Drosophila melanogaster: one gene and its partners. The protein of the gene in region 2 interacts with the protein of the main gene of each other region in a pairwise test. Each region holds a gene or a part of one and is shown on either strand. Other genes may lie near its edges.

Region 1 (7,622 bases), on a different chromosome or scaffold from region 2:
TGCCAGTAGTAGCTCGTCCAGTGGCGTTCTCGCCGGGAGCGCTGGTAGCTACTCCAAAAGTCTGAGCCAGAACCTGAGCCGCGGCTCGTCCAAGAGCAATTGCAGCGGTCCCTACGATAGCTTGGACTTTGCCTTGCCTTCTGGCAAGGGCAGTCTACCCTCGTGCATGGGCTCAAGTTCGATGCTGGCCACGCCCACTCCGGCCTCGGCATCGCCAGCGGGAATCTCATCGGAGCATTCATCGGAAAGATCGCTGTACGGGAGCCACAACTCCTGCATCCATATGCCAGGAGCTCTGCCGTTGGGCTTGGGCCTTCCTCAGAGTTCAGCCTCCACGCCCACGCCGAATCCTACGCCTCCGCCAAATGGCGGTGGTGTCACGTTCCTGGACAAGCGTTCACCCATACACTTTCGCGAAGGAAGACGGGCGAGTGATGGCCTGGTGGCCCAGGGCCTGCTTAGCTCTGGTTCCTTGCTGGGCACCAGTCGTGTGTACGGAAGTTATCGCTACGAGCAGGCCAAGCGTCACGGTTGGCTGGAGATCCAGCAGCTGCAGCAGCTGCAGCAGGAGGCGGCTGTGGGGCATTCACACCCACATGCCCATCAACATCCGCATCAGCATCCGCATCCTCATCCCCAAGCGTACGGCTTGGAAGAACTCTGTCAATTTCCAAATGGTCAATTCTATGCTCTGCCGGGCAAGCATCATCCGCTGCTGACTTTGCCCCATCATCATGCGCATCCTGCGCAGCATCACCATGGCCATCATTCGCTGTTCCATTCAGGCCACCAAGCCACACCTCTGCTCCTGGAAGCCGCTGCTGGTGGGGATATGTATGGTCATGGATGCTATGCTCCGCCACCGCCGCCACCAGGGCTATACACGCACCATCAGTTGGGCGTGGGTATGGCCGTGCCCATGTCCCCGATGCAAAAGCCACCGCTGCAGCAGCAGCTACTGCAGCACCGCCTGCTTCAGCAGAAGCGTCAGTTGTTCCAGAAGCAGTACGCACTGGAGGCGCAGCTAGCCGGTCGACATCACCACCATCAGCAGCACAGCCATCACCACCATCACCACTTTGGCCACAGCCTGGGTCCGCCACCGCCGCCGGCTCCGGCTCCGGAACATCACCTGGCCGACGAGTTGTACGAGTTGGCCTTGCTTGATCGGCCCAGGAGCGGAACTCCTAGGCTTCAGCACTCCATGACCATGCCCGGAGCTCATGCCTTCAGTCAGATGAACCTCAAGACTTCCTACATCAGCCAATCGGACCAGGTGCCTGGTGCGGCGCCTAATGGAGCTGGTTCCGGAGGATCAGCTGCTGGGGTATCATGCTCAGCTCCACCGTCCACGGCGCCGGGTACGCCCACGGTCAAGTGCAAGCCTACCACGCCCCACGGTCACAGCCTGGACTCCGACTATCATGTAAGTAAGCTAGATAACGCATATTAAGATGATTTCTCAGGCATCCCAAGTTCGTATATAAACCTTATCCGTTTTCTCCTTGTGTCCTCCGCAGACATCGACGCCGGTGCTCAGCCTTTTCACGCCCAATTGGCAGTCGCTGGTAAAGCCGCTCAGCGAGAGCCCCATCCTGGAGATATCGGAGCACCTTGAGTCAGTCTGAGGCCGTGTGTGATGTTATTCGGTGGAGGGGTTGGGGCAATTCGAATGGGAGTAGATTTGTAAGTGGAAGTCGGTGGGAAAGGAAAAGGGGTAGGACTGGACATCGAACTATAATGGGGGCTGGACCGGGACCGGGGCCACCTTTTTATTAAGCTCGCAATCGCAATTATGAATTATTTGATCCATATACGATATACACCCATACATACATATAAATAGCCTATATAGATATGAATGCGGGTCGGAATCGGAATCGGAGTTACATCGATTCACGTTTATTGGAACCGATAGAATCATTACCGAACCGGGCGAAGCAGTAATATTGAATGATTTAGTTGTGTTACTAGTCTTAAGTAGTCCAAGTTTCGTACGCATATACGCAGACATATACAATATGTATATTGATAATAATAGCGTTAAGCTATAGCTCTACTTATGATTACACTATACACTATTGTATTGCCCCCACGACAGTGGACGAGAACAACGTAACTACATATATCAATTATTCGAAGCATTTATTGGGGGCATAGAAAGGGCGTATCCATATAAGGATATATCTATTATGTATTGGTACAATAATTAGCGACAAGCAAAGAAAAAAAAAACAAAATTTAAACAAACATCGATTGTTCTTAAACATGGAATTCAAATGTAAACCAGATATTAAAGTCATTTGGTATAAAATGCAATATACTTCTGGAGTTCCTACATTATATAGATATAGATATAGATATATATGGGTGATCTGTGTTTTCGTGTGTGCGTGGAAGGGACGACCGGCCGGATCATGTGACTAGAAATCTTTTTTGGAGGCACTATAATCACCAGGGGATCAAGGAATTTTTTCTTACCGCAGATCATTCAACATGACATTTGGGTACTTCTCCCATCGTATTACTACCATATGGCACACATATATCATATCCCGCTAGGACGGAGGACGATGAAGGTGTTAAGGCATCTGTCGGAGTCACGTCGTGGCCTTCACCTGCCGATTGGACTCCAGGTGCTTTCGCTTTGCATTGGCCTGATTCCGCTGCTTCTGGGTATCTGGAGAGCCATGGCAGCGCAGCAAGTTCCAGTAAGCTCTTCGGTATTCGGAGCTCATCAACACGTAGATCAGCGGGTTGATGCAGGTGGTCAAGTAGATAAGTAGATAGCCAGCAATGTTGAACCAGTGCACCTCGGTGGCGCTTTTCCATATTTTGGCCACCGTGATGGGCAAATAACAAATTACAAACCACACGAAGATTACCAGTATCATCTTAAGCAATCTCCGGTCCTTGGCACTCATCCTTCCCGGGTAAATAGAGGATGCATTTGAGGTATTGCCCATGGAGGCGTAGTGGGATTTCCGCGGGCTAAACCGTGTGAAGGAGGTGGTGCGCAGGGATGTAGTGATAGGGTTCTTTCTGGAATGGATTTACGCATTAAGGTTGAGTGAAATGGCAAAGAAGCCTTCAACAGCTACTCACCCATGGGTTTTGCCCATCTCTAGTTGCGTTTGACTGCGTCCCAGGCTGACCTTTTCCTGATCCCGATCCCTTTCCTTCTCCCGCTCCTTGAGCACCACATTGGCATCAACAGGCGGTGGCTGCTGGTCCTGATCCCTCCTCCGTATGCTGTACGAGATCGGCAGACTGTCCGTCGAAGCATTGTCATCGATATACGCTAAGTTTTCCTCCACCACAAAGGGTCGTCCTGCGATCGGTTCGTTCGCCTCGCCGCTGGACGTGGTCACCTTCTCCGGCTTCTTTGGTGTGGCCATGGCTTGAATCTGATGCTGCGGCGCGGAGCTGGGAGTCACATCGCTGACATTGGTCTTGCCAGCGGTTCCCGCGCGAATGGCCGCCTTTCGCACCAGCAGGAAGATTCGGGCATAACAGATCACGATGCAGATGCACGGCACCATGAAGGCGGCGATGAAGAGGAACTCCTTGGGGGATCTACCATACCGATCATGCATGATGGAACACGAGCCGATGCTGACGTCCAAGCCAAAGATACCCCATACGCCCCGCCAGGTGGGTATCATTATGGAAAACGTGGTGATCCATGTGCCGGCTACCATCAAAGCCAAATATCGTCGCTGGTAAATTCTGGAAGAACGGATTTGAACCAGTGGGAATTGTATTTTGTACCATGTCTAATTTGATAATAATATATGCTCATTGTATTCAAATATATTATTTTAAGATATCCGTAGCTCACGAAAATAAAAACTAGCTAGTTATTTATTTCTCCAGAAATATTGTAGTTCATATTTTATAAGATATTAATTTCCGTTCAGTTTAATTGTTTATTACGAAAATATTGAGATCGCTGAACCGACCTTTTCTATAGCATTTGCCTCTAGCAAGTAATGTTCTCTTTTTTAGTTAATTAAAAAACATCTACGAGAAGCCATACATTTTCCTTTTTATAAACAAGTTCAAAAGTTTATAAGTTCAGAAACACAATAACATATGTGTGGGTTTTTTTCTCAGATTAAGTGGTAGGTTACCATGCGTATCATAATAAACAGATAAGCACCAAGAGGAAGAGTTGGGCACTCTGAATACCCTTCAAGATTTAGGCAGGACATGCCGATATGGGCAGGCCCATTCTCACCTTGGATACTGCCTGGGATGGGCGATAATGATGTACCGGTTGATGGTGATCAGCGACACGGAGAGCAGGGACACCGCCAGCAAGCCGTAGCGCAGCATCGGAAACAACCTGCACAGCAGATCACTATGGGTCCACGCCCGCTCCTTGAAAGTGGACGCGGCCAATGGCAGATTAAAGCAGCCAAAGAGTAGATCCGAGCAGGACAAATTGATTATGAATATGGCCGTGGAGTTGCGGGTTTGACGACCTCGCGACAGGGCCACTATGGTCAGTAAATTTCCGGGAACGCCCACAATGATGAACACTATGCAGGCCACCCAGGCGATGGTCAGCAGCTCGTCCGAATAGCCCTCGAAGAGCACCTGGCGCCTGTCGTCTACATTGAGATTAAGATTCATATTCAGATTGAGGTCCACGTCCACGTCCAGGTCCAGGCTGTCGGAAAGGGGTACCGGCAACACCGCGTCCTGATCCGCCATGTGATCAGTAGCATAGGGATCCGAAAGAGGCAGCGCTATCGAGATCGGATGCGGAGTTGGTCCGGATTTTGGTGGGAACATCGCGCGGCACTTTGTGTTCGGCAAAAGACGCGTTGCTCGTTCCTGCGCCGAATTTGTACTAAAACTGAATTCTCCGCATCCATACACCGACATGGTTCCCACCCAAAAAGTGGGCCCGAAGGCAGTCGCCGCCAGCCAAGCGTACAAAATATTGAGAAAAAAAAAAAAAACAGCAGGCGAACTAGAAAAACTTTCAAAAAGGAAAACAAAAGAATCTCAGAGCAGCAACAGCAGCAACAACACACATTTTTATTGTATACAACAATTGACTTCATCATCGGGTAATTTGGTAATTTGCGTGTGGAATGGGCGCTTTGTTTACATTGTTCCTATTCGGTGTTGTTTCTTAACCGCCCTTCCCGCCCCATTCCGCCCCAATCCACTCGACTCTTTCGCTCTTTCGTCGATATTCTGACGGGGTCATGTTGCTGTTGTTGCCGTTTTTCAAAGTTTCAGATACTAGACCAGGGATACCATTGCCCAAAATGGTTCGACGTTTTAGCTACATACTTGAGCATTCCGACAGCCAGAACATACATACTTGCATTAGACTAGTCTTTGCATCAGTCTGGTGGAATATAAGTCATGAGCAGCATGGGGAAAGTTATCTGCATTGCTAACACAATTCAAGACTTATCACTTGCAATGAAGTAAGAAGTTCCCCTCCTTAATTGATACCTTGACCGATACGTCTTGGATGCTTAAAAAATTCGGTGTGCCAGAGGTTACATGAATATATTGGGAATACAATGAATAAGCTCCTACAGATGAATCGAGTCTATTCGTAGCCCTGATTTCGGGCCATACGCACCTCTCCGGCATTTTTGAAATGAAAAACTTTTCGGTTCCTGGGTCGTGTGCATGTGTGTGTGTGTTTGTGTGTGTGGTTGCATAGTTTCCTCTGGCAATTTTCTGGATAATAAATGGGCGGCATCCATTCGAAGCGAGGAACTGAAAAAAAAAGCAAAACTTTTGCGAGAGGGACTCATTCGAATAAATATGCCTATAGATCGAATTTGTGCGTAGAATGAATACTCCAGTCATGGGCGATTAATCCTGAATCATAACTCGAGACTATGCGTTTTTCACGCTCTCATAACCCGTTTCGAATAATGAGTCAAACCCCGGAAGCCTGGTGTCACACGACGTCAGCGTACATATGTAGTCTTAATTAATCAAGCCAATATGCCGGGGGAAACCTCTCTACTTTTCCGAGGGTCAGAGTGCGGGTCGTCTGTTGGGTCGAATTGAGTATTGTTTGCCTTTTGAAAAGAAAAACAGGCGGTTCTAGGGAAAACTCTTTGGCAACGGCACGAATACGAATACGTTGTTTGTTTTCATGCAGGCCAATAGTCCGGGAATTGCAGCCGACTACCCAAGAAAATAACATTCAGTTCTTGAGGAAATTAATATAATTATAGCGCCATATCGCATTCACTTAAATGACGAGAAATTTTTAAGTTTAAGATCCTAGGAACTGGATGGAATACAATACGTGATAACGAAACATATGGCTCATCCTCGTACTTGCGAAAACATGCGTTTTCATAAAACAATACAAGGCTTTATCGAGCTTAATCTAAACGTATAATCCCATCATTTTTTAAGAAATTAAAAGTGCACTATCCTTGCGCCCACCACTGTACTTGGAAATGCCTGCGGGATGGGCATAAAAGTGGAAACTAAGACCTCCCCCCCCCCCCCACTCATCAACCATTCTTGATATGATTGTGAATACGATTCGAACGCCAATCGACGCCCGCTTCGGATTCGAATTCGGATCCAGAGATCCAGACTAATGTAAACTTCTCCGGCGTACTTACATATACGCCTATACGCATACGCACACGCACGGGCCCATGTTTAGATAGCCATAAACTATCGTGTTCTTCACACAATCCGCAGCAAACAACAAACAATGAGAGTGCGCACAAATCCCTACGTCTTCAGTTCGATATCTGCACCGAAAACATTTATTACCAGGTCACAGTTCCTAATGCGATATGTGCGGTAGCTCCAACCATCAGTTCCTTACCATGCGACAGACCGTTTTTCCCAGTGCAGCCATGTTGGATCGCCTCGATCGATGTCGAATGTCCAATTGTGTAAACATTAGAATGCAGACACATGAAGCCTTATCATTGCACATTTGCTTCAGTGGAGAGAGGAAGCAGAAGCGGCGTATCTGCGATATGCATCTGATCGATCGGCAACCATTGAGCGGCCTCCACCCACACCCGCCCCTCGGTCGGTCACCAGATGGCCGATGGCTGATCGCCGATCTCCGCCTCTCTGTCTGTCCCTGTCTGTCTTCTGCGCTGTCTCCGGCCGGCGGGCGAGAGTGCGGGAGTGCGAGCGAGCAAGAGAGCAGAAGAGAGCGCCAAGTCGTGGGGGCAGTAACAGGGGCGCGCCAAATGAGGGGAAACCTGACTAACATGGAGCGCAACTGACGTGCGTTCAGACGGAATATCTAACGAACGGAGTATACCCTCCCTCAATCAGTTCCCTACGCCACTGGCCGGCGGCGGAGAGTCATTTAGACACTAGTTGAGAGTGAGAGTAAAGAGTGAGAGGGGGCTGCCGATTGTCAACTGGCAATATCGCGACTCGCTCTACGCTGCCCGCACTCGACGAACTGCACTCGATCCGGCAGTTATAGACGATCCAATACGATCCGGCACGAGAACGCAGGCGCTACGCAATTTGTCCGTTACATTCAACCAGTACGGATAATAAACAACGAAAAGTAACTACGATTTCAGTTCGACTTGAGTGACATTCGATACGATACCGTTGAAGCAGTCGCGAGCGTGTGCCTATTT
Region 2 (5,456 bases):
TAAGCTGCATGCCAATTTGCCTTGAGACATCGAATGTTTATTAAATGTCTGAAAGTAAATACAAAAATGTATGCAATAGTTATAGTGAAAATTTCCAACATTTTTTATGTATTTATTATGCCGAGCTTTAATTTTAATAATATCCTGTTGTTCCATGCTGGATTATTAAAGTGCCTTCCTTTTAGAGTAAATAAAATTTACGTAAGCTTTTCACCAATAGGAGGCATTGAATATTGGGGATTTATTTACATGCCACAAATGCGTATGCACATAATTTGCATGAATGTTACTACAAAATGATGTCCTGACTGCGGAATTAGGCGACATGTGCCGAGGGGAAAAAAACCGAAATTCAAATATTTCCAACCGAAATTTAAGTATGCGAGCTCGAATGCAAAAAAGGATAAGTCGAATTCGCTAAAAAATAAAAAAAAGAAAACAGAAACAAGGAAAAAGGGCTTATGGCGGATTTATTTGGCAACACACGTGTCTATGTAGTCGGCAAATCCCACAGTCTGGAAAGCATTTGCCTTCCCGATCAAAACCCAACATCATACAACTGAAAAGCAAACACAGGTTCACGCAATTCAAATATTACCGTGAGCTCTCTTAAAAGATACAAATTTGCAAAATACACACACAACAAAAATCGTAGGTGGGGTTTTTATGAAACATGAGGAAAAGGTAAACGAAGAGGAAAATTCAAAAAACACATCAAGTTATCCAATAAAATGTATATTTTCCGATGATTGTATGAAAAGTATTATAATGAACATATGCACATGTTTGTTATATTTTAGTTATCTGCTGCAGACACTAAACGAGTGGAAGTAAGTTTTGTCACATCTTTCTTTCTTTTATTTGTAGTTTAAATATTAATCATCCTTTATATTCGACATATATGTACATTTTCTCAAGCATAAGTGTGTTTGGCCATACAAGTGGATCAGCCAAGTTGCTCCCACAACCGATGGCATAGCAGCCATCGTGTAATTTCCCAGCCTACTTTTCCGCCAAAACGTTTTGCGTCTAATGAGTTTTCTACTTGCGGTTTCGGGGAAAATTTGCGCAAAAATGCGACTCTTTACATTTAAGTGCCGAAGGGGAATGGAAAATGGGTGGTTGGGTTGTTATGGGGCATCGTGGTTTTTACCTTGGTGGTGAGAAGTGAACAACAGGACCGTATGCGCTGTAAATGTTTTAGTGGTTACCGCGTTTAAGTCATTAGAGAAAATTCTTGGCGACCAGAAAAGGGTTGGGTGAACTTTGCTTCCAGAATTTGAATCTCAAAGTCGCTGAGCTAAATGTACGTACATATATTATGCGGCAGTTTTTGGCTGGCTTTGGAAATTTCAATAGAGGCGGCAAATGCTTTGGATTTAGTGTTTACAAAGCTTGTGAACAGTGAAAAGATGATCCAACATTAATTATGTACGAAACTGAAACTGTGAGGGGAAACAAAATAAGGAACTTTAACAATTTCTTTAGGTATTCCCTTTGAAAGTTTCTAAGAACATGCTTGATAACCTTTAAAATCTAGAGTGGAATATGTGGAGTATGTATACGTCCTTGAAATATATATAGTGTGTTTTTTATACGAAAATAAAAATGTGTCTGTAAAATTAATTAACCAACTTAAGTTGATTTAAACATGGTTTTCTTATTCTTATATTAAACAAAGTGATAAAACTCAATAGATTATTTATAGTGTAATTACACTCAATACACCTACAAACTCAGAGTTCATACAAGTGCTAACTAAACAGTCTGCAACATTCGGTCCTAAAGGGATTGATACATTTATTTGACTGCCAAATATTGTACACCCGTTTTTATGTGCGAAAATATCGGCCAGAAATGTCTGCCTATATTTAAATAACTCTGTCGCAATGACCGTAGCGAAACGTGTCCGACAACGGTTTTAAAAAATTAACAACATTGCTCCAATTAGTCTGGGCAGTGCGGATCATAATTGTATGGGCACACATCGTTCTTATATAGTATATACATATGTATATTTCGCAGGCATTCGAATATCCAAATTTGCGTCACGGCACTGAGTTTTTGCGACTCCTTTCGTTTTTAAATCCATTTGGTTATCACCATGGACAGACGCTTAAATTGAATTTATAAATAGTAACAGACCACTATTTAACTAATAGACTCAAATTCGAACAGCAAAGACTTACTAATCAAACAGATGTCGACTTACTTAAGAGCTAGTTTTTATCGATAAGTGAGCTGGATTTATTAAAAAACTAAAAAAAACCCAGCTAAAAGTCCTTGAAATTTTTACTTTTATTTTGCACTGCTAATAAGATATAATTTTGGGCTTCCTAGTTGATTCAGTATTCCGAGATATAATGTATATTTATAATTATTTACTAATATTTGTTAAATATAACTAATAATTATCAGGTCACTGTTAAACAAATAGTTTTACCTATTCTCGCTTTCGCCGTCAGATGGCTGAATCGAATTTGGCAAAAAGGTAATTTAACTATTTACGAATGGTTTTCGTCGGACATATGGTGGTGATGGGCCTGACTAATTATCCACTGAGATCTGCACGGCCGACAAAGGAAAACAAACAAATATTTACGGAACACACATCCATTTGATTGCCTGCGGTTGGTGGACCCTTCCTCTTCATTTTCATCGCAACATCTGGTCCTGAAATTGAAGGACCTCTGACCAAACGAATCAGCTGTGTCCAAGGTCGCACCCCTGTAGTTTTAACGGCAAACTCCCCATTTCCATTTGAGTCAATACTCATCGCCTTTTACCTTTCGGTTCCGCAGTGGGTCAATAATTAAACTAACGATGAAATTGATACGTTGTATATCCAAACTCACATTTATCTATAAGTTTTAGATACGGTATTTATGTGTTTCCTTCAAATAGTTGTTTGAGTAGATTACAAAACTAGAAACATGGTTGAAATTGTTATTTATTTGTTTCAATGGAACCTATTTAAACTTTCTCACCCAACTTGGTAAAAATTAGAGCTTATTTTGCATCACTATTCTAGCGAATCCGTTTCGGTCATAGGCTATTTCCCTATGCCGGATCGATTTGCACCACATTAGCATAGCTCCATCGACAAATGCGTTAGTATCTATCCGGAAATGGAGCGACTTAATTTGTCGAACAGGGCTCGCCTGTTTTTCCACCTGTCGGCCACCGTTCACCTGGGCTATGCCATTTACTTTGACTGTCGGTATGCCCAGTTGCCACAAGTGGCGGTGACCCTGCGCCTGGAGCCACCGATTGGTGGCAAGTTTAAGTACATGACGTTTCTGTGCGGCCTTTTGCAGTTGGGGTACTATACACTGGCGCTGACCTTTGACCTCCTCCGATTGAGATCTCTAAGGAAGCTGCGAGACTACATCTTCGCCACCTTTGCCGTACCTCTGGCCCTTACGGTGGGTCTCACCTTTTGGACACTCTTCGCCATCGATCGGGAAGTGATATATCCGGTGCTTTTGGACCTGGTCTATCCCAATTGGCTGAACCACACCATGCACACCTTCGTCGTAATCTATGCCTTTGTGGAGTTGGGTATTACACGACATCAATATCCGAAACGCAGTCGAGGATTCACTGGACTGGGTGCCTTCATGTTGGGATATCTGGTGTGGATACATATCGTTTGGTTCCGGACCGACATCTGGGTGTATCCCTTTCTGGGCGGCATCGCCTGGCAGCTGAGAGTAATTTTCTTTGTCCTTATCATGGTCCTCGGATTCATTTACTATCTCTTCGGCGAGCGAGTTAATAACGTCTTGTGGCAGCGATCTACTGGTGTCCACAGATGGATCGATTCCCATTGAAATGCACATTTGATAGTTTAAGGATAGGAACATAAATAAAGTATATAGGATATGCTTCTTATTAAATTAAATATGACTACTGTGGAAGTCAAGCTATGCAACTATTCAAATCGTACAAAAGGCGCAGTAATAAAACTAATATACATTTTTGTAGAAACCATAAAATTCAATTCGAAAGTAATAAAACATGTTTCCGGTACAAAGATCAATTGCAATATAAAAGTCGAAATCATCTAATTTTTCAACACACATAACGGAACCGGAAATCGCTCTGAATATATTATTTTGGTTTTCAAATGCGTTTATCATCGAAAAACCAGCTGCTAAGAAGCGGAATCCATATGGATTCGAACATATTCTCATTCAACTATATGATAGTCACGTGCGGAAATTACAGCTGCCAGCTGATTCTGGAAAACCGATCCATTGTTTTACTCAATCCTTTCAGCGGGAGGTTCCGGTTTGGCTAGGATGTGGGCTCCGATTTCGAATATTTCAGGACACCACTTGTGCCAATATTTCGAAAGTGATCTCCGGACAGCCGAAACTCAGAGAAGAAAGGCACAGTTTTTCATTGTTTGCTGCAAAGGCAGATGGGTAACAGCCCATTTCTGTCAATCACTCATTTGTGTTTTCTTAAGGCGGTCTGGTTGTAAACATTTCTATTCTTCCGGTTGTATGCCATTATTAGCAAATAACTAAATTATTGCTTTCTTACTTGCTTGTTAAAACAGTGTTGCCTGAATCGTAAAAATGCATGAAATTAGACTTAAAAATGTTAATATAGATGTTACTTCAACAAAAATCAACTAGAAATTCACTTAATGAATAAGCGTTTGATTGGAACTTTGGTAATCTCTACCTAAAGCGCAGATCATTTTGATGATTCAATTCTAGACCAGCAACATATGAAAAGGTTATTTGGACTACGAATTTATTAAAAAGGTTATAAACCTTTATACAATAATATTAACTGAGTCCGAACAGAAGCCGCATTGTTGACAAGCCGTTAAATTTCGATTAGCACACGCGAACAGCTGTTGAATTGTTTGATCAATTTTCGGGAGTAGCACGTTTGAAGATCGTTGATGCATACAAACCAAGGTCAACGACAGCTAAAAAAAAAAATCCGCCGAAAATGATGGCCAAAATGGTGACTAATAGTATGTGTATATATTTTAACAAAATTCGGGAGCCAATTAAAAGCTTAATAGCTTTCCCCAAATCGCACTAGGAATACTGCGGCAAAAGGAGCTCAATTGCATTGGCCGAGAACTGGCTTTAATTGCTGACTCCGCTGGGCAATGGGCCATTAAAACTAATTGGTCTGATTGATTGTACTCCTCGTGGTGCACAGAGAAACATTGCGAGAAACAATGGTCTCCATTCATATCAGAAAAAATATCATTTTCGAAAGTTTTCAGAAGGGCATTGGCATTGTTTAATACGATTTTTAAAAATATTAGAAGCAGTATGTAAGTACTCAGATGGCTTTTCTTTCAGTGCGGACTTCTCACATCAGTCATCGCATTCGCGTGCATTGTTTGTTGCTCCTTCACAATTTAATTTAATTAATGAGCGTGTGTATCAATTGGAGTGCAATTGTTTAATTACTTGTATCGT
Region 3 (7,639 bases), on a different chromosome or scaffold from region 2:
GAATAAGCGCATCAGCACATACAGCAATGGAACGAAGCGGAAGCTAATGATTGCCATGGGCACCCTGGCGCCCTCGCTTATGTGCCTAGATGAGCCCACCGCCGGCGTGGACATGCATGCCAAGTACGAGATATGGAGTATTTTGGACGGCATCCGCCAGGGTGGACGCAGCATTCTGCTGACTACGCACAACTTGGAGGAGTGTGAGTTTCTGTGCACCAATGTGGGCATCATGGATCACGGCTCGCTGCTCTGCTACGGATCTTTATCGCGTTTAAAGCACCGCTTCAACATGGGCATTTTCGTTAAGGTGAAGATGGGTACCAGAGCAGAAATGGACGATGAGCGGGACAATTGGATGCAGATCACTATGATGCCTCCAAACGATAGTGAAATGGGAAGCACGGTGGGCGCTCGCCGTATGATGTTGGCGCACTTGCTGAGACATCACAATCCACCAGTGGAACCAGTCAAGAAGTCGAGGACCAGTCGCGCCCAGCCGGACACCACAAATTCGGAATTGAACATGCGCAAGGACTACGAGGCGTTGCTGCAGGAATTGGAGGAGGTCTTCAAAAAGGACCATCCATACAGCACTGTCAGGTATGTACATAAAAATATTTACTAAAGTGTTATATCAGAATATTGATATGTGCTAACCAAGCTTTTTGCTTAGATTATTTTTGGCATATGTTTCGTATGAGTAATTTTCTATGCATATTTTGACATCATTACATATCGTCTTAAAGCAAAGTTTTCTGAAAAAATTAATCAAACTAAAACAGTATCCATATTAATTGATAAAGTAGGATTTTCTATTTTCGTTTTATTTGGGTCACGATCATTGCTAATTGACGATATTGACCACTTGCAACAGCAGATTGAAATTTTCAATACACTAGTGCACGCACACAGATATCTACATAAACATTTGCTGCTCACTTTGGATGTGAATATGGTTTATTTACAAATAATATACTCATATATAAATAGTCTGGGCAAATCGCGCATACTGGCACAGAAATGAAAATAATCTTGTTTACGTTGTGTATAAGAAAGTCATGATTGATTAAAGGAAAGTTATTATGACCTTACATCTCAATCGAGCATAATAGTTATTGTAATTTATTTAAAGAGCTAAGAGTTGTATATATTTAATTAATTATAATTAATTGTTCCCCCCAGCGAGAAGTACTCCTACCGTGGCATGATCACCTTCTGCATTCCCAGAGGGCAGATTAAGTGGTCCGCGATCTTCGAGTACATGGAGAACTTGAAGGATGAGATGCAGATATTGTACTACTCGGTCAGCCATACAACTTTCCAGGATGTGTTCATGAAGTTTGTGAGGAAGCAGAATCAATAGAACCATAAATCTTCCCCAATGAATCACTTCAATGAATGCTATCCAAACGAAACCCTTATCGTATCAGCGAAACTATCTGTGAAAGCTTTGCTTCCGAATGCTAACAAATCGCCCAAATCATCTGTTGGCGTTGCAAAAATGAAGGCTAAACAATCATCAGTCGCCAAATTGATACTCTTATATGTAAATCTGTATGGTTATTATATTTTATGACGTTGCTAATGAATACAAATAAATGCCTTAAGATTCTTGTTGGTTAACATAAATATTGTTAAAAATAGTAAATCGCACACTAAGTTAGAGTAAACAAAAATCGGTTATGGCGTAACTATGTTATCCACCGCTTTTGGTCTCCTCTTTCGCCAGAACATTAGCCAAAAATGTGTGTCATGCGAGTCTATTCGTACTTTGAACTCCCAATCCGTTCTGAAAACTTTCCATGAGCAAGACGAGCGTGGTCTGGGTTTATTAATGATGTTTCGACAAATCTATCAATTGGCATTTGTTTACAGGCGAACCCATATTCACATGCTGACCCATGGCTTCTCCAATTTTAAGCAATTTGCTGTCTCCGACCCGCAATTAGACTTTGTTCCCGCATGGCGCAATAGTCAATTGGCAAAGGTAAACGCTTGAAAGTTATGGCATTCGTTCCGAAATAGATTCCTCATCGAGTGAGCAATGTTGGGAGAGCCTCGCATAACCTTGGTAGCTGATAGCGTACGAATTTGCTTATCGCAGGAAGTATTCGACAAATCGTGATTTCTGAAAAACACCCATGAGCCAACCGAAGTAATTATTTCAATCCAAGCTGCAGCTGGGGATTGCAAGTATCATGTTTCCGCAGCAAATAAAAAAAAAGGCAATCACATTTTGTAGAACAGATTTCTTTAATGATCAGCAGTTTGGCTTTTACAAATACACATAACTTTCACTGCTCCGAGTTATTGTTCAATGGTTGATTGCGACACGACACGAGTATATAATTAGTCTATAGTATATTTGTGTACATATAGTAGAGGTATATAAGTAAACAGAATTCACACTGTGGCGCAATGTAATGCTTTAAGAGCCATGTAGTAACTATTTATAGGCGGTGCTCACTGTAGTGTATTATTGTAATGTTATTATGTTATCTATGTATGCAAATATCGAGTAACTAAGAGGTATGAATATAAATATCCCATTAAAATTAGATGTACTACTAAATCAATAATTTATGTGGGGCATTGTGGCTGCCAATGCTCAACATGGGAAAGTAGTCGGCCAACTCGCTTTTAGGCTCCAAATTGATTATTGTCCCTCTGTAAAAGTTCATTGAGGTAGACTCCTACTTTTGATACGTTCTTGTAAAAAACATTTGACTATTCTTAAGAGGCCTCTTAATGATGCGCTTGTGAACATTTGCAACACGACTAATAACTACTAATTATCGTTGTTTACGTGTATATGGAAGACTCTGTTTTGGTCGCTCTGTATGCCAGTTTCGTTCACACAGGTATACAAAAAGGTCACATAGTTATGCACTTTTAGGTACGACATCCGTAACACGACTAACCAAATAGCCGACGCCTTCTGGAAATTCTTTTATATGTATGTATATATTCTACACTAAATCTAAGCCGGGCGGAACTACTGCTCAGTTAGTTTGGTGAGCGTTTCGTCCTGGGCAGTTTGGTCTTGTTCTTCTTTATGGCGTCGCCAGCGGCGGGACAGCATGGGTGCGAAGAGATCGTAGTCCAGCTGCTTCCGAGACTTGTCCAAATAGATTTCCGCGTTTTCTGCCTTTCCACAGTGAGCCAGCACAATGCTGCTGAAATAGCCGACGACCACGGCAATAAGAAAGCCGATGACGCTCAGCCACAAGTAAGAAATTCGATATAACCAGAAGTAGTCGGGTTCGATGACCACTCCGCTGCTCTTTGAGCTGAGCTCGATGGCACGCGCCATTACCGCGGTGGCATTCTCACAGCCCGCTGTGCTAAACTCCAAGGTAACTGGCTTTGGTTTGGGTCCGCCGAATCCCATCCAGAAGGAAACTATCAGGGAAACGAGGAAGCCAAGCAGCACGCCTCTTTGGTTGCTGCGTGTAGTGCAGACTCCCAGTGTGAAAATGGCCAGCAGCGGACCGCCTACCACACCGAAAATGGTAAGCGATGCCTGAAGAACTCCGCCCATGGAGCCAGCGACAAAAGCTAGACCGATGCAAAGCAGGCCAAAAATGCACGCCACAATCTTGGTGGGCATCGTGGACTTGGAGTCAATTAGCGTCCGTTTAAATATCGCCTTGTACAAGGGCTTCAGGTAATCCTCCAGTGTTACAGCCGACAGCGAGGTAACTGCCGACGAAATCGTGGAAAGACTGGCGGAGAATATTCCGGACACGAACAGACCACACAGTCCAGGATATTGACCTGCCGGAAAAAGAAATCAAATAATGCTAATTCTTATTGGATGTCTTTCCAACTCACCCATAGTCTCCAGTGCGAAAAGGGGCATGATCTGATCCCGCTTGTCGATGCGTCCCTTTAGCAAAGGGTCACAATCTCGATAATAGTAGAATATGGACAGTCCACTGAAAATGGTGCTAAAACTAAGCATTCCTAGGATGGGCAGGTTCCACCAAAGCGCCGACTGAGCGCTCTTCAAATTGCGGACACTCAGGAGTCGCTGTACTTGCGTTTGATTAACGCCATACAAGGAGAGGTAAGTGACCATGCCGCCAATGATCAGAGACCACCAAGTATGCCTCACGGTGGGATCCAATGAAAACTCAATGAAGTTCACGCGTCCTCGCTCCACAGCCACATCCCAGATGGCCGCGAATCCGCCGGCTTTAATGGCCGACACGGCAATCACGGCGTAGATGGCGGCAAACATGAGGAAGGACTGAAACACATCCGTGATGAGCACCGCCTTCAGGCCGCCAAGTGTCGAATAGAAGGTGCACACCAGTCCAATGACCACGATGGCCATTGACCGATGAATGCCGGTTACAGCTTCTAAAGCGAGCGCTGGTGCATAGAGTGCAATGCCCATGTAAAGCACCATTTGCACGGTGAAGGCCAGGGAGGCGGACAGCCGGGTGGCCTGGCCAAAGCGCCGCTCCAGATACTCGTACACACTGGTCGTCCGCATCCTGTAGAAAACAGGAAGGAAGAAGTACGCGGCAATGGGCGTACTCAGCACGTAGGCAATGTTGATCACACAGAAGATGGTACCAAATTCGTAGGACTCGTTGGAGACGCCCATCAGTGAGATGGCGGACATGAAGCTTGCCATCAGGCTGAAGGAGACCGGAAAAGTGGTCATGCTCTGGTCCGCCATCAGATACTCCTGTGTGGTCTTTTGCTTGCCGCCTGTATACCGGTAGTAGATGCCAATCAGAGCCGATATGACCAGGATGGTGATCAGCACGGCCGCATCCCAGGCGTCAAACGTTCCCACGGGCATGTTGTTGTTGACTGGATTCCGCTTGTCAGAGAACTGGAAGTTCGACGTCCGTCACTGGTCCGAATTGATTTTTCCACAAGCGTCACCACCAGCGGCGATTGGACGCTTCTCTTGCCCAGCAATGACCTTTGGCGCAGTCAACGCTTTCTAAAGTGCGCGTCCAAGTGCACGGCGAACGGCGGAAAACAAGACGCGTGCTCGCGAAATCTCCGCTCAAAAAAGAAACGTTCTTGCCGAGGCTACGACCGTTAAATAACTGATCAGCTGAGCGGTGAGTGTGCCCTTGCAGGGTGTGCGGATTAATGCTGTAATGTTTTCCAAGCACATTAAGCTTACATATTGAAAGGCCATTGAATACCCTCAACGAAAGCAACATTGCTGTGCTTTGGTCCCACTACTTTTTCCCGCTCATTGTTTTGGTTAATTTTTTGTTTTGTTTACATGCAGCGAACATGGAATCCATGGAGGTTGATGAGTCTGCTGCCCAGCTGTGAGTGCCTTTGGTATGCCTGCGTAGGAGTTATAATGTTACCCAACCACCCGCCATAGCTACGTTCGCACGCCGGAGGATGTGAAGGCCATTGTGAAGCATGCGAAACTGGACGAGCGCCAGTTGACCCAACTCACCCAGGCTCTGTACTTTCCCTCGGCGGACGTGGATTCGGACAATCTGCGCCTTCTGGAGCTCGATGGGCACATGCTTGGACAAATCCGCGACGGCCAGACGCTATATTTCAAGGGTGGCCAGAACGAGAAGCTGGTGCTGTGCACCGATGAGCGAACGTACGACGTGAAGGGCGCGGAAATATCCAATAGCCTTTTGCTGGTACCGGACCTCAAGTTTGCCGCCGCCACCAGCACCTCGCCGCTGAAGAGTCCGCGCACTGGCAACGCCAACGCCTCCCTGGAGCGCAGCCTCAATGACAGCACGGAGGATGAACTGGAAGTGCCGCGAACTCTGGAGCAGCGGCCGGTGCTCAAGGTGTTCCACGAGTACTTCGAGTGCCGCGAGATAAAGCCGCGCTTTCGCAAGCTGGGTGAACTACTGCAGCTGACTCGATATTCGGGGCCGGAGAACGAGTTCTGCGTGGAGCAGAAGCTACTCTTTACCTTTTCGCAGCTCCTGGACACGGTGCAGTGCAGCCGCGGTCAGTTCATGGAGGGATTGAACCAATATCGAGCCATAGAACTGGACGGGCGAATGCGCGTGATGGAGTACGAATACGAGTATCGCATTATTAACATGATGCTGGGTTTGATAAGCGAAAACTCCTGGGCCTTGGACGAAGTGGAACGGGAGGAGACCATCAATGCACTGAAGGGCATAGCTCCAGAGGATGTTGTGGCTGGGCTGTTTGATATCTATACCATTCCCAGTGAACGTTGCCCGGGCAAGTTTGAGTACCAGGAGTCCTTGGTCTCCCGCATTGTGGCACAGAACATTCTTCAGCCGGGTTTGCGCTTTCGCAACGAGGAGTTCATGCGCACCTGGCAGGAGGTACTGCCCGAGGGCATGTCCTGCGACTTAAAGTACCTACGAGGTCTGGGCATTTGCGACAAGGAGGGAGCGCAGCCTTGCATACGCTCCCTGGCAGAGGAGTTACTGCCCACCAATATAAGCGATCGCATGCGGGCGCTATTTAAGACTAAAAAGAGATGGACGATGGAGGAAATGGAACCGTACATAGAGTAAGTAATGATGAACACATATCTAGATTGTTTTTTTGATTTTCGGTTTTATAACTAGGTGCTTTACCACCCCAAACTTGTCCGTTTCCACACTATTGGCCAAGCACGCTCGCTCATTGACCGATGGAGGTGTGCGATACTTTGTTTCAAAGCATTGATGGAAACATCCAAGGCTATAGCTTTGTATCTCTTATTCAATAAAACAGCTTTAAGTTAGATTAGGCATTCCGTTTTCGCTTGTTGCGATCTTTTTTGGCCTGCTTCTGGTCCTCTATGGCCGCCTTCATGGTCTCCACGGCACTTTGAGTATGACTCGTGGCTAATTGGGCCGCCTCGCTGTTGGGATACTTGAAGCTGAAGCCTCTGGGGAAGATGGGTTGGGCCAGGAGAGCATTGAGCTGCGCTCTAACTGTCTCCACGCGCAGCCGATTGCGACGTCGCTCAATCACAAATGGATCCTCATCCTGGTCACTGCCACTGCAAAAGTAAGAGTTAGTCATAGACTTCATTTTAATGAGATCTTGTTAAAAAAAACTTACGATTCGTCATTGTAGCCATCAATGATCATGTCCATTTCCTCAGCGTGCTTCTTCATCCAGCCGCGCTCACTCTGCACGCGCTTCAGCTTCAGCTCCTCCTTGTCCAGATCTCGCGCCAGATTCACACGCTCGCGAACAGCTCCCATAAAACGCTCCAAAATGGGGAAAAGCGGCAGATCCTCAGCTAAAAAGTAAACGAATATGTAGAACGTCTGTCTTCCTGTTAGAAGTCTCTCACTCACTTCTCTCCAATGTTTTGTACAGCTTCACATAGCTCTTGACCTCGCCCGGCTCCATAAACATGACTGTTATGCCATGCTTATTCGCTCGTGCAGTGCGTCCCGATCGGTGTACGTAGTTCTCACTAGTGCGCGGCACTTGGTAGTGAATCACATGCTCCACATTCGGTATGTCCAGGCCACGAGCAGCCACGTCAGTGGCTATCAGCAAACCTGTCGGGCTGTCACGGAATCGCTCCAGGTTCTTCAGACGCTGCTTCTGGATCATGTTGGCATGCAGGGGCAGGGGATTGCAGTCCAGCAGGCCGAAGAGCGTGGCCAGTCGTTTTACGCAATCGATGGAATTGCAAAAA
Region 4 (9,151 bases), 5.7 Mb from region 2:
CAATCAAAATGTATCAAAATGTATCAAAATCCAATTAACCCTTTTGATCAAAAATGGATTTGCAATTGTGTGCTGGCTTTGAAAAACCAAACATGATTAGCCTGAAACCTTTTCGAAAATCAATCAACGCGGAGAATAAAGGAGCCTGTGGAATAACAATTACCAAATAAGCCACGATTGCACCGCCTGTTGCATTATTGGCCTGTTCAGTTGGCCACACAAAAGCCACGCAAGCCACAACGAGCTCCTAATAAACATGTTGAAACTTGTGGAAGAGCGGGAGAGTGAGAGAGAGAGAGACAGGGGTAGCTGGCGGACGAAAGAGATGGCAAGCGGGATCCAACGGGCGCATTGCCCAATGACATTTTGAAATCGCATTTCCGGGGGGAGCGGGGGGAAAACCGACAAAACGAAAATTGAAAAGCCGACAAAAGGAAAAAAAAAGCTAAACAAAAAATAAGCAAAATCGAATGCAAATTTTGGACCAAAATCGAATCAATTAAATGGCACAGAGTTCGCAACATTCGAACCCAAGAGATATGTATGTATATATGTACATATGTATGTACATATGCAAATGGGTCGAAGTCATGGGAAAACGGATTTCGATCTCGATTATCTGGCTGGGGGATTCAAAGTGCGCAGACAAAGGGCCATAAAACAATCAAATCCATCCGCAGCTCGGATCACAAATTGTGTGCAAATATTGATATAAATCCATGTTTGCACTTTGTTTATCTGCAAAAGTCAAACAGTGGCATTGTTTCGGTCGCTTTCCACATACTTTTCTTTGCTTTCCACGCTCTTTATTGTTATGCAATGAATGATGCTCGGATGCTCAAACAGTGAAACTCTTTCTGGTACTGGCTAATTACGAACATACAGACATACATACATACATATATTTCTTTTTGACCCGCTTTCAGTAAACAGTTTTGAACTTGAACCAATTCGCCTGGTTTCTTTTTCAGTCTTTTTGCCATCCATACATGTTTTATATGCGACCATAATGGCATTTGGTGGTCGCTTTATGGTTCCCCTAACAACAAAGAAGTGAATAAATTATAAGTTTTTTTTTTTATTTCGTCGCTTTCGCAGCTCTGTTTTAACAAAAACGCGTCTCATACGCGAGTTTTAATTAGCAAATATTTGCAAATTACAACGATCCGTGATCCGGTGGCGTTCGCCTTGAGATCACTGGGACCTTGAACCAATTTCAATGGGAAGACCACTAATAAATCTCATTGATAAATACATATATGCAGAATTATTAAACAATAAGTTTCGTCGTTTGCCTAGTGAGTTTTTTTGTTTTGATTAAAGCAAAGGCTTCAAACTTGATATTCGTCACTTTTTATAAAGAAGTTGGAGCCTAACTTGGTTGTAGATTCAGTATATTGAAGCTTTCTATGTAAGTCAAGATGAAAAGTTGTTCTTATTTAATTTAATTATATATTTTACAAGTATGTAAGTAAGTAAATTCAATCTCTTTAAGAACATATACATATATATAGTATAAATATTAATCATACAATGTGGATTTGAGAAAAAACCCGACTAATCCGTGGACTTCTTATCATTCTTTGTAGTGACCGCAGTCCATGCCAATCGCGTGACCACAGAGCAGAACCAACGAATCGCAGATCTTCCAGCGAAGAAGGAAAGCAGAATATGGTGCAGGATCAGGGGGAGACGACAGGCCTGCCAGAGGCGCTGCTGAAGATCGCCAAGCGGGAGCTGCGCGAGGATCGATGCACGCGGGAGCAGTCGCTGGAGCAGCTGCGCAACTGGGTGGCCAAGAACGAGGATCTGCAGAATGTGCGATGCGACGATACCTTCCTGCTGCGCTTCCTGCGCGCCAAGAAGTTCAGTGTGCCGATGGCCGAGCAGACGCTGCTCAAGTACCTGAACATCAGGAGGACGTTCCCGCACATGAGCACCCAGCTGGACTATCTGGAGCCGCGTCTCGGCGACCTCATCGATCAGGGATACATATTTGCGGTGCCACAGCGTGACAAGCACGGTCGCCGCGTGGTGGTCATCAATGCCAAGGGGCTAAATCCGAAGATCCACACAAGCTGCGACCAGGCCAAGGCGCACTTCCTCACCTACGAGTGCTTGATGGAGGATCAGGAAACACAGATCACTGGGCTAACGCATGTGGGCGACTTCGCCGGCGTGACCACGGCGCATGTGACCAACTGGAATCCCACGGAGTTTGCCCGCATCTTCAAGTGGGGTGAGCAATCGCTGCCCATGCGTCACAAGGAGATCCACCTGATCAATGTACCATCCACACTCAAGTGGCTTATTGATTTCGTGAAGAACCGCGTCAGTTCCAAGATGAAGAACCGCCTGATCATCTACGGCAGCGAGAAGGAGCTGATGAAGAGCGTGGACCAGGGCTGTCTGCCGCTGGAAATGGGTGGCAAGGTGCCCATGCGCGAGATGATCGAGCTGTGGAAGCAGGAGCTGGCGACCAAGCGCGACCTGATTCTCGGTCTGGACAAGAGCATACTGCGCTCCGATCGCGGCATCCAGCGGCGCAGCAGCTTCAATGCCGGAAAGGCCTCCACCGGCGGACCCAACTTCGTTTCACAAATCGAGTCCATCGAGGGTAGCTTTCGGAAACTGGAGTTCGACTAACCGATCGCCAGTTGTAGTTTAAGTTTATAGTCCTTAGTCTTAGGCAACATCCAATCAATTAACCCAATGCGCAACGCTTCGCCGGTCCCCCGATCCTGGCCAGCGCCCGATCCTGGGGATCCCTGATTCGCTTATCGGTGGCAACCGCTTTACTCATCCTGCGCTTCTTTGTATACTGTGTTTGTGTTTGGCGTACAATAAACGAGAGGAATAATTTGGAATCATCTCTTTGTTGCTTCACTTGGACGTTTGGTGGCTCGCGTAGTGCGGCCAGTGCCTCAGTTCCCGCTGCAGTGCGTCCGTATAGCTGCCCAACACGAAGAGTTGGTAAATTGGCTGCAGAATCCGACGCTTTAAAGACTCAAGGATCAGAGCCTGGGCGGCCATCAACTGGCAATCGATGGGTGGTCTGCCGCTGAAGTTACCCACAAAGGCCATCACCAACGAGTCTATTCCATTTAGATCCCTTGGATACTGGCTCCGATAGTGCCATCCTTGTGCCTCGAAAACCTGACAATCACCGGCGACCAGAAAGTTGTAGGGCAGCTCCCCCACATGCGACCTCTAAGGAGATGAATGAATTTAGCTTTGATTACAATGTACTACACATACTTATGTCCGATTAACTCACTTCCAGCTTATGCAATACATCCGGGCAATCATCGTGGCATTCATTGCTTCCAGTGTGGGTAAAAATCACTGTGCCGACACCGATCGGATCGAAAAGAGTTCCCCGACCCTGAAGTTCCATATCCGACCATATGCCATGACCCACGATACTGAGTCGATAGCCAAAGTCCGGCGTTTGGGCTGCAAGCAGTGCAAAGTGATTCAGTCATTAAGTGGCTTTGTCCACCTATAAAGGCGAATTTAGAAAAATTTAACAATGAGTCATATGCATGCATACGAAAAATAAAACGAATCTTAAGTTAAACAAAAAAAAAAAATGAGGGATGGCTTTAAAATGTTTTACTATACAAATTTAATGCCAGATACATTATATTATGAGTATAGATCGATTTTTCTTTGAATACTTTCGCCTGCCCATCAAAACGCACATGAGCAGCTTATCATAACTCACAGCTAATTGAGATTTATTTATTATGCATATATGTAACAATAACGATTTGAGCACGTACTCGTGCACGTCCACCATCAGCGGGCAAACTCACTTTGTCTCCAGAGCAAATAGGCGGCCAGTGCCAAGGCGGATGCACACATGACCAGCAGTCCCACCGAGCGCCAATTGAAGCAGTCTTCGTGGAGCGTCGGGTTCCTTCGGCAATTCGAAGGCGTCGTGGAGGAGGCTGAGACTGAGGCTGTGAGGGATGAGGACGTCTTGATGGACCGCTGAGCAGCTGCCAGCAAGGGAGTGGATTCGCTTGCAACGCCTTCCTTGTCCACTCGAATGTGTATATCTTGGCTGGAACCCAGGCTGCCGTACGACGACTGAGAGACGGCGGCCGGCGAGGGACTACGACGTGCTATCGTAGCGAAATATAGAGCAAACAACAAATTATGGAGTTTAGCCAAGATAAAGGCGACCAGATGATTAGTCAAGTGGCACAGTTTGTCCAGGCCACTCTGATCTTGGTGGGCATAGTATTTGCTGATGGCACGCAGACTGTAGGCGCTCACAAAGATCGGCATCTTGCCACTAACTGAGCTGGGATATCCAGCCGAGATGCACGCATTCGTATATCTCACCCATTTAACTATATCTTATCAAGACAAGGGCTTATCTATCGTCGGACTTACCCACTCGCACGGCTATGTGGCTGGAGTCCATGGCTAGACCGCTCTGGCTGCAGCCTCGGCATCAAGGTGGTGCTGTGAGTGGGTCAGCTCCTTACCGGATCGCACTGGAACACACCACTCGATCGATCGGAGTCGCCGCTGTCAACCACTGCCAGCAGAATGCACAAAACGACTGAGACGAGAACAAGGGAGAGAACCAGCCCGCATGAAGCACAACATTTCCATTAAATCATCAGCTACGAATTTCGAAGGGGTCTCTTATCGCACTCACTCTTAGACTCTCTTAGCTATGGAGTAACTTTAAAGCCGGGAGTAACATTCGCATCGCGTTTACTTGACTTTCGTTTGCTGATATCTTCAACTAGACTCTAATAACAATCATAAATGGGTTTCGCTTTATACACAGAGGTTGGCTTTGCTTAATTTACAGTGCAGAGGCTGCTCCTCCCTTAAGACTAACTTGGGCTTGGGGACCGTAATAAGTTATGAGCATGCTAGCCAGTGCAAGTGGCAGCCACGGGAACACTGGACATGGACACTGGTTTATGGGAACATTTAAAAGTTTCACGAAAGACAATACATTGTGTTAAAATCGTTCGAAAATCTAAAAGAAATGCATTCGCCTATGTGCCTAAACTTAACTTATTAGGTATTACGCGTCCGCGAGACAGGGGACAGGCCTAATCCAGCACCTGGACATTTCAGAGCTCCTGCAAATCCCTTACTTGTAGGACCTCCAAATCTGCCAGGCGCACAGGGCAGCCGAGAGCAAGGATACGCTACGGTGCAAGTATTTGGTTTTTGAGTTGGGCGAGTAGCCCAAAATCACAGGCGAGGAGACATCTGTCAGTGGCAGTTTCTCCAACACGGTGTCATTATTTTCCACCTGAAAAACACAACCAAAGTGAGCTTCTCAATCTTGGATATCTAGAACTTTTCCTTTCATACCTGATATTGACAACATGGATCGTAGTTCCAGGAAACCGTGTACAGTCCTGTGCAAAAAATCGAGAGTGCACAAGCGGGAGCTGCAATGATGGGGCGATCCCGCCACAGCAAGCTGGCCACCAGGGAAACCACTCCAGTGGCCACCGCCGTCTTGTGCAGGCAATTGCCCACCCAAATCCAACGACCTGTGGAGATATGAAATTAATACTGTGCTTTAAAAGGAAGCACTTCCAAGTGCTTACCAGTTTCGTCGCCCAGCCGAGGCGGCTCTATAACGATGAAGTCCAACTTGGCTTCCAGCGCCTTGTCCAGCTCAGCCTCGAATCTTTCATGGGCATTGGAGCTGTCGTAGACCTCGCGGATGACATGGAAAGTGGGCACCTTACTCGTGCTGCACAATTAGAACAACAATACACGAATCAATCATGGTTATCTTGATGTGGAACTCAAGGTTAAGGTCAAGATCAAGCGCTCAGAACAACCGAAGCAGAGAAGCCATTGTGCAGACGAGATAAATGAAGAAGCCGCCTAGTAAATTGCATAACCAGGGCAGGTGCACTTGGGAACTGGGATTTGGCTGCACCCAGGTGGAATGTGTTGCGTAATCCCACTGCATTCACGTAACTAGGCGCCGTATTTACCTTTCTATATTTCTGCTAACCATTTTGCTAATAAATTTGTTGTTTTCTATGTTGTTCATAAACTCAGTGCGGCCGCAGCTGGACCGTTAAAATATACCAGGTACCTAAGGGCATAATACTGCAAATAGCAATCTTCCAAAAAAATACCGCAGTTGGGCGGCACTTTTGAATTATATCGTATTCGCAAATACCATTCTCCTTTAAAGAGCGGCCTATATATAAAGGCTTAATTCCACTATTTAGCAATTTATTTGCTTATTTACCTATATTCATAAAGACAATTAGATTAGATTAAAGTTTTTAAAAATATTTCAGTATTTCTATTGTTCTTCCAACTACTCAACTCTCCCATCTCTATTTACGATAATTGAGGCATTTAAGAGGCAAATCATGTAAAATCTGTATACGATTATAGGAGCTTAACTTAATTGAAATCAATAATTATACTCCCAATAAAGATCAAAAATATAAGATACATGTGTTAAATGAATTAGCCGGCTCTTATTGTCCCAAGCGAAGAAGCCAGGATTTCGCCGGCTGTCCGATATGGTCACACTCGCCCACTCATAAGAAAAGACACCCAAAATTGAAAATGGAAAAGCATCATCGCCTGCCCCTCCCGGAATTGCACGACGACAAACACAGACACAAACAGTGCAATGGGGAGAACAGCAATCGCTTCCGGCCGCCCAAGTACAAGACGCGTGGCTACGTCGCCGTGGACAACAACAATCTGAACCGAAGCCAATCGCTGGGCTCCTGTAGCACCAACAGTTCCCAGATCGCGCACGCGATCTCCTTCCGGGACGCCGGATGTTCGGATTCCAGTACGCTGCCCTCGTCACCAGTCCAGGCCGAGCTGAGCACCCTCTCCCTGTCACACTTCGAGCAGTGCTTCGAAAGGCTGGCCAAACTGGGCGAAGGATCCTTCGGCGAGGTATTCCAGGTGCGCGATCGCTCCGACGGCCAGTTATATGCCGTCAAGATCTCCAAGCAACTGTTCCGCGGCGAACAGTACCGCGCAGAGCGGCTGGAAGAGGTGCGGCGCTACGAGGAGTTCTCCGGCCATGAGAACTGCATCCGGTTCATCCGCGCCTGGGAGCAGTACGACCGACTGTACATGCAAATGGAGCTGTGCCGCGAAAGTCTGGAGCAGTACTTGCTGCGCTGCCAAAGGATACCGGAGGAGCGCATCTGGCACATCCTGCTGGATCTGCTGCGGGGTCTCAAGTCGCTGCACGACCGGAATCTCATCCATCTGGACATTAAACTGGACAACGTTCTGATCGGCGAGGACGACGAGACGTGCAAGCTGGCAGACTTTGGACTGGTCATCGATGTGGACAGGGCCAACAGCCATCACGCCACGGAGGGAGATTCGAGGTATATGGCTCCAGAGATCCTGCAGGGTCACTTCTCCAAGGCTGCGGACATCTTCAGTCTGGGCATTGCCATGCTAGAGCTGGCATGCTACATGGATCTTCCTTCCAACGGCCCACTGTGGCACGAACTGAGGCACGGCATTCTGCCCGAGGAGTTCATAAACAGTGAGTTGCGAACTAGCTGCCTACTTAAATGGCAGGTTGCTAAAGCCTTTCTCTTCGCACAGAAATATCACTGGAGCTGCAGTCGGTAATTAAGTCCATGATGAAGCCCGATCCTGCGCAGAGGCCGACGGCCGAGCAGCTACTCTCACATCCCAAGCTGCAGTACCTGCAAAAGAAGCGCAAGTCGCTGATGAACTTCAGCATGCTGGTAAGCATTCCCAAGCACATCTTTGAGAATCAATCTTAACCCTTGACAACTTGCAGTCGCGTAGTTTTAGGCGATCTCGCCGCGCCGTTTGGGGAAGAATGTGCAATTGGAAAACAGCCGCCTTTCGTTACCTTCTATACTTCCTGGAGGTCCTGCATCTATGCAAGCCCATAACGGCCTCACAGCCCAATATTAACATAGTGCCCTCCTCGCCTTCGTCAAAGGGAGTGCCTCTGGTGCCTCAGGTGGAGTTCCAGCTGGTAGGATCCACACCCATTGCCAATCGTGACTGCTATGCCTCCGACTTCCTTTCCGGCGAGGACCCGCTGGACCTCTCCAATCAGGGTAGCCCCAACGTAATAAATTCCACGCCATTGAACACAAACCAAGGCAAATCCCGTCTGGATTTGCTAAAGAATAAGTAAGTACCCTTAATCGATTAGCTCATGGACTAGCGCACATAACCCATCCGCTTTCAGTGTTGATTCAATGGGCAGGTACGTTCATGTACACGATTTCGAGAGTCCGTGTTCCGCCCTATCTTCCGCCAAGGTCCTGGACACCTCATCGTTCCGACGCAAAAAGCTCTTCGTCCTGGAATATGACGACGAGTGAGTGAGTACGGTGCCAGCGAGCAACGTAAACCGAATGAATTTATGATAAACCCAATATATATCAGTTACGAAACGAATACCAGATACATATGGCAACAGAATATATCGTTAATTGTATTTTGATTAGTTCTAGACCGTAGTGTTGTACGAAGTTCCCTAGATATAGTCTTACGATTGTGTAATGTTAATGCTTCTTTAGAAGAACTTGTTGAACTTGAACATATAATCATGTGATATATATACGAAAAGCGATTTGAAAAGTTTAAAAATAAAAAACTTATTGAAATTGAAACCTGCACTGAATGCCATCTATGACATATGATAACAACAAATTAAAGGTAAAAACCAAGAAACGTATAACTATAAAAATTTTTTTTAAAACATTTTTGAATTCTAACGTACCTTTCGTTTCGGGGAAAAGTATTTTGCCCATCTGGTAACACTGGCCGCTCGCACATGTTGAAAACGTAAACAAAAACGAGTAGCACAATTTTTGAAAATGACCAGGAAAAAGGCTCCTAAGAAAAAAACAGAGGTTGTATTCGACAACAAGAAACGCATGTAAGTAAGGAGACACAGAATCCCCGGAGGATACTAATGCCCACATCCCAATCCCGCAGAGAGTTTCTCAGTGGCTTCCGGAAAAGAAAGAATGAGCGACGATCGCGTGCAAAGGCGGATCTGGAAAGAAACCTTAAGAACGAGCGCAAGCGCATACGGCAGGAGGTAAAGGATGGCTTTAACCACCTGAAGAAATCCTTCGAACCGCTGCGCGAGCTCACCGAGGAG

The links.
Region 1: the proteins of CG6149 (region 2) and CG4313 interact in a two-hybrid assay, tested with the Drosophila melanogaster proteins (one large-scale study listed by BioGRID).
Region 3: the proteins of CG6149 (region 2) and CG10444 interact in a two-hybrid assay, tested with the Drosophila melanogaster proteins (one large-scale study listed by BioGRID).
Region 4: the proteins of CG6149 (region 2) and Pmi interact in a two-hybrid assay, tested with the Drosophila melanogaster proteins (one large-scale study listed by BioGRID).

What each region holds. Positions count from the first base shown.
Region 1 is NC_004354.4:2,049,924-2,057,545, reverse strand, and holds CG4313 (uncharacterized protein), read right to left. Parts: upstream 4,863-7,622; 5' UTR 4,801-4,862; coding exon 4,241-4,800; intron 3,730-4,240; coding exon 3,106-3,729; intron 3,043-3,105; coding exon 2,601-3,042; 3' UTR 2,132-2,600; downstream 1-2,131. Other genes in the region: Sik2 (Salt-inducible kinase 2), read left to right, coding at 1-1,426, 1,521-1,628.
Region 2 is NT_037436.4:11,433,134-11,438,589, reverse strand, and holds CG6149 (uncharacterized protein), read left to right. Parts: upstream 1-3,113; 5' UTR 3,114-3,128; coding exon 3,129-3,833; 3' UTR 3,834-3,895; downstream 3,896-5,456.
Region 3 is NT_033778.4:20,269,420-20,277,058, forward strand, and holds CG10444 (uncharacterized protein), read right to left. Parts: upstream 5,081-7,639; 5' UTR 4,820-5,080; coding exon 3,838-4,819; intron 3,781-3,837; coding exon 2,999-3,780; 3' UTR 2,234-2,998; downstream 1-2,233. Other genes in the region: CG8908 (uncharacterized protein), read left to right, coding at 1-603, 1,186-1,366; CG11788 (uncharacterized protein), read left to right, coding at 5,272-5,309, 5,369-6,508, 6,567-6,666; CG9143 (uncharacterized protein), read right to left, coding at 6,727-6,985, 7,048-7,231, 7,290-7,639.
Region 4 is NT_037436.4:5,776,976-5,786,126, reverse strand, and holds Pmi (Pmi), read right to left. Parts: upstream 6,077-9,151; 5' UTR 6,017-6,076; coding exon 5,994-6,016; exon of another isoform or gene 5,744-5,993; coding exon 5,595-5,743; intron 5,540-5,594; exon of another isoform or gene 5,538-5,539; coding exon 5,353-5,537; exon of another isoform or gene 5,291-5,352; coding exon 5,130-5,290; coding exon of another isoform or gene 5,126-5,129; exon of another isoform or gene 4,577-5,125; coding exon 4,546-4,576; 3' UTR 4,436-4,545; coding exon of another isoform or gene 4,405-4,435; exon of another isoform or gene 4,297-4,404; coding exon of another isoform or gene 3,819-4,296; intron 3,503-3,818; exon of another isoform or gene 3,457-3,502; coding exon of another isoform or gene 3,278-3,456; intron 3,211-3,277; coding exon of another isoform or gene 2,884-3,210; 3' UTR 2,647-2,883; coding exon of another isoform or gene 1,672-2,646; 3' UTR 1,442-1,671; downstream 1-1,441. Other genes in the region: Cralbp (cellular retinaldehyde binding protein), read left to right, coding at 1,672-2,646; PGRP-LD (peptidoglycan recognition protein LD), read right to left, coding at 2,884-3,210, 3,278-3,456, 3,819-4,296; Myt1, read left to right, coding at 6,586-7,540, 7,603-7,748, 7,805-8,169, 8,228-8,363; vito (viriato), read left to right, coding at 8,862-8,923, 8,983-9,151. UniProt on the Drosophila melanogaster protein: Plays a role in mitochondrial morphogenesis.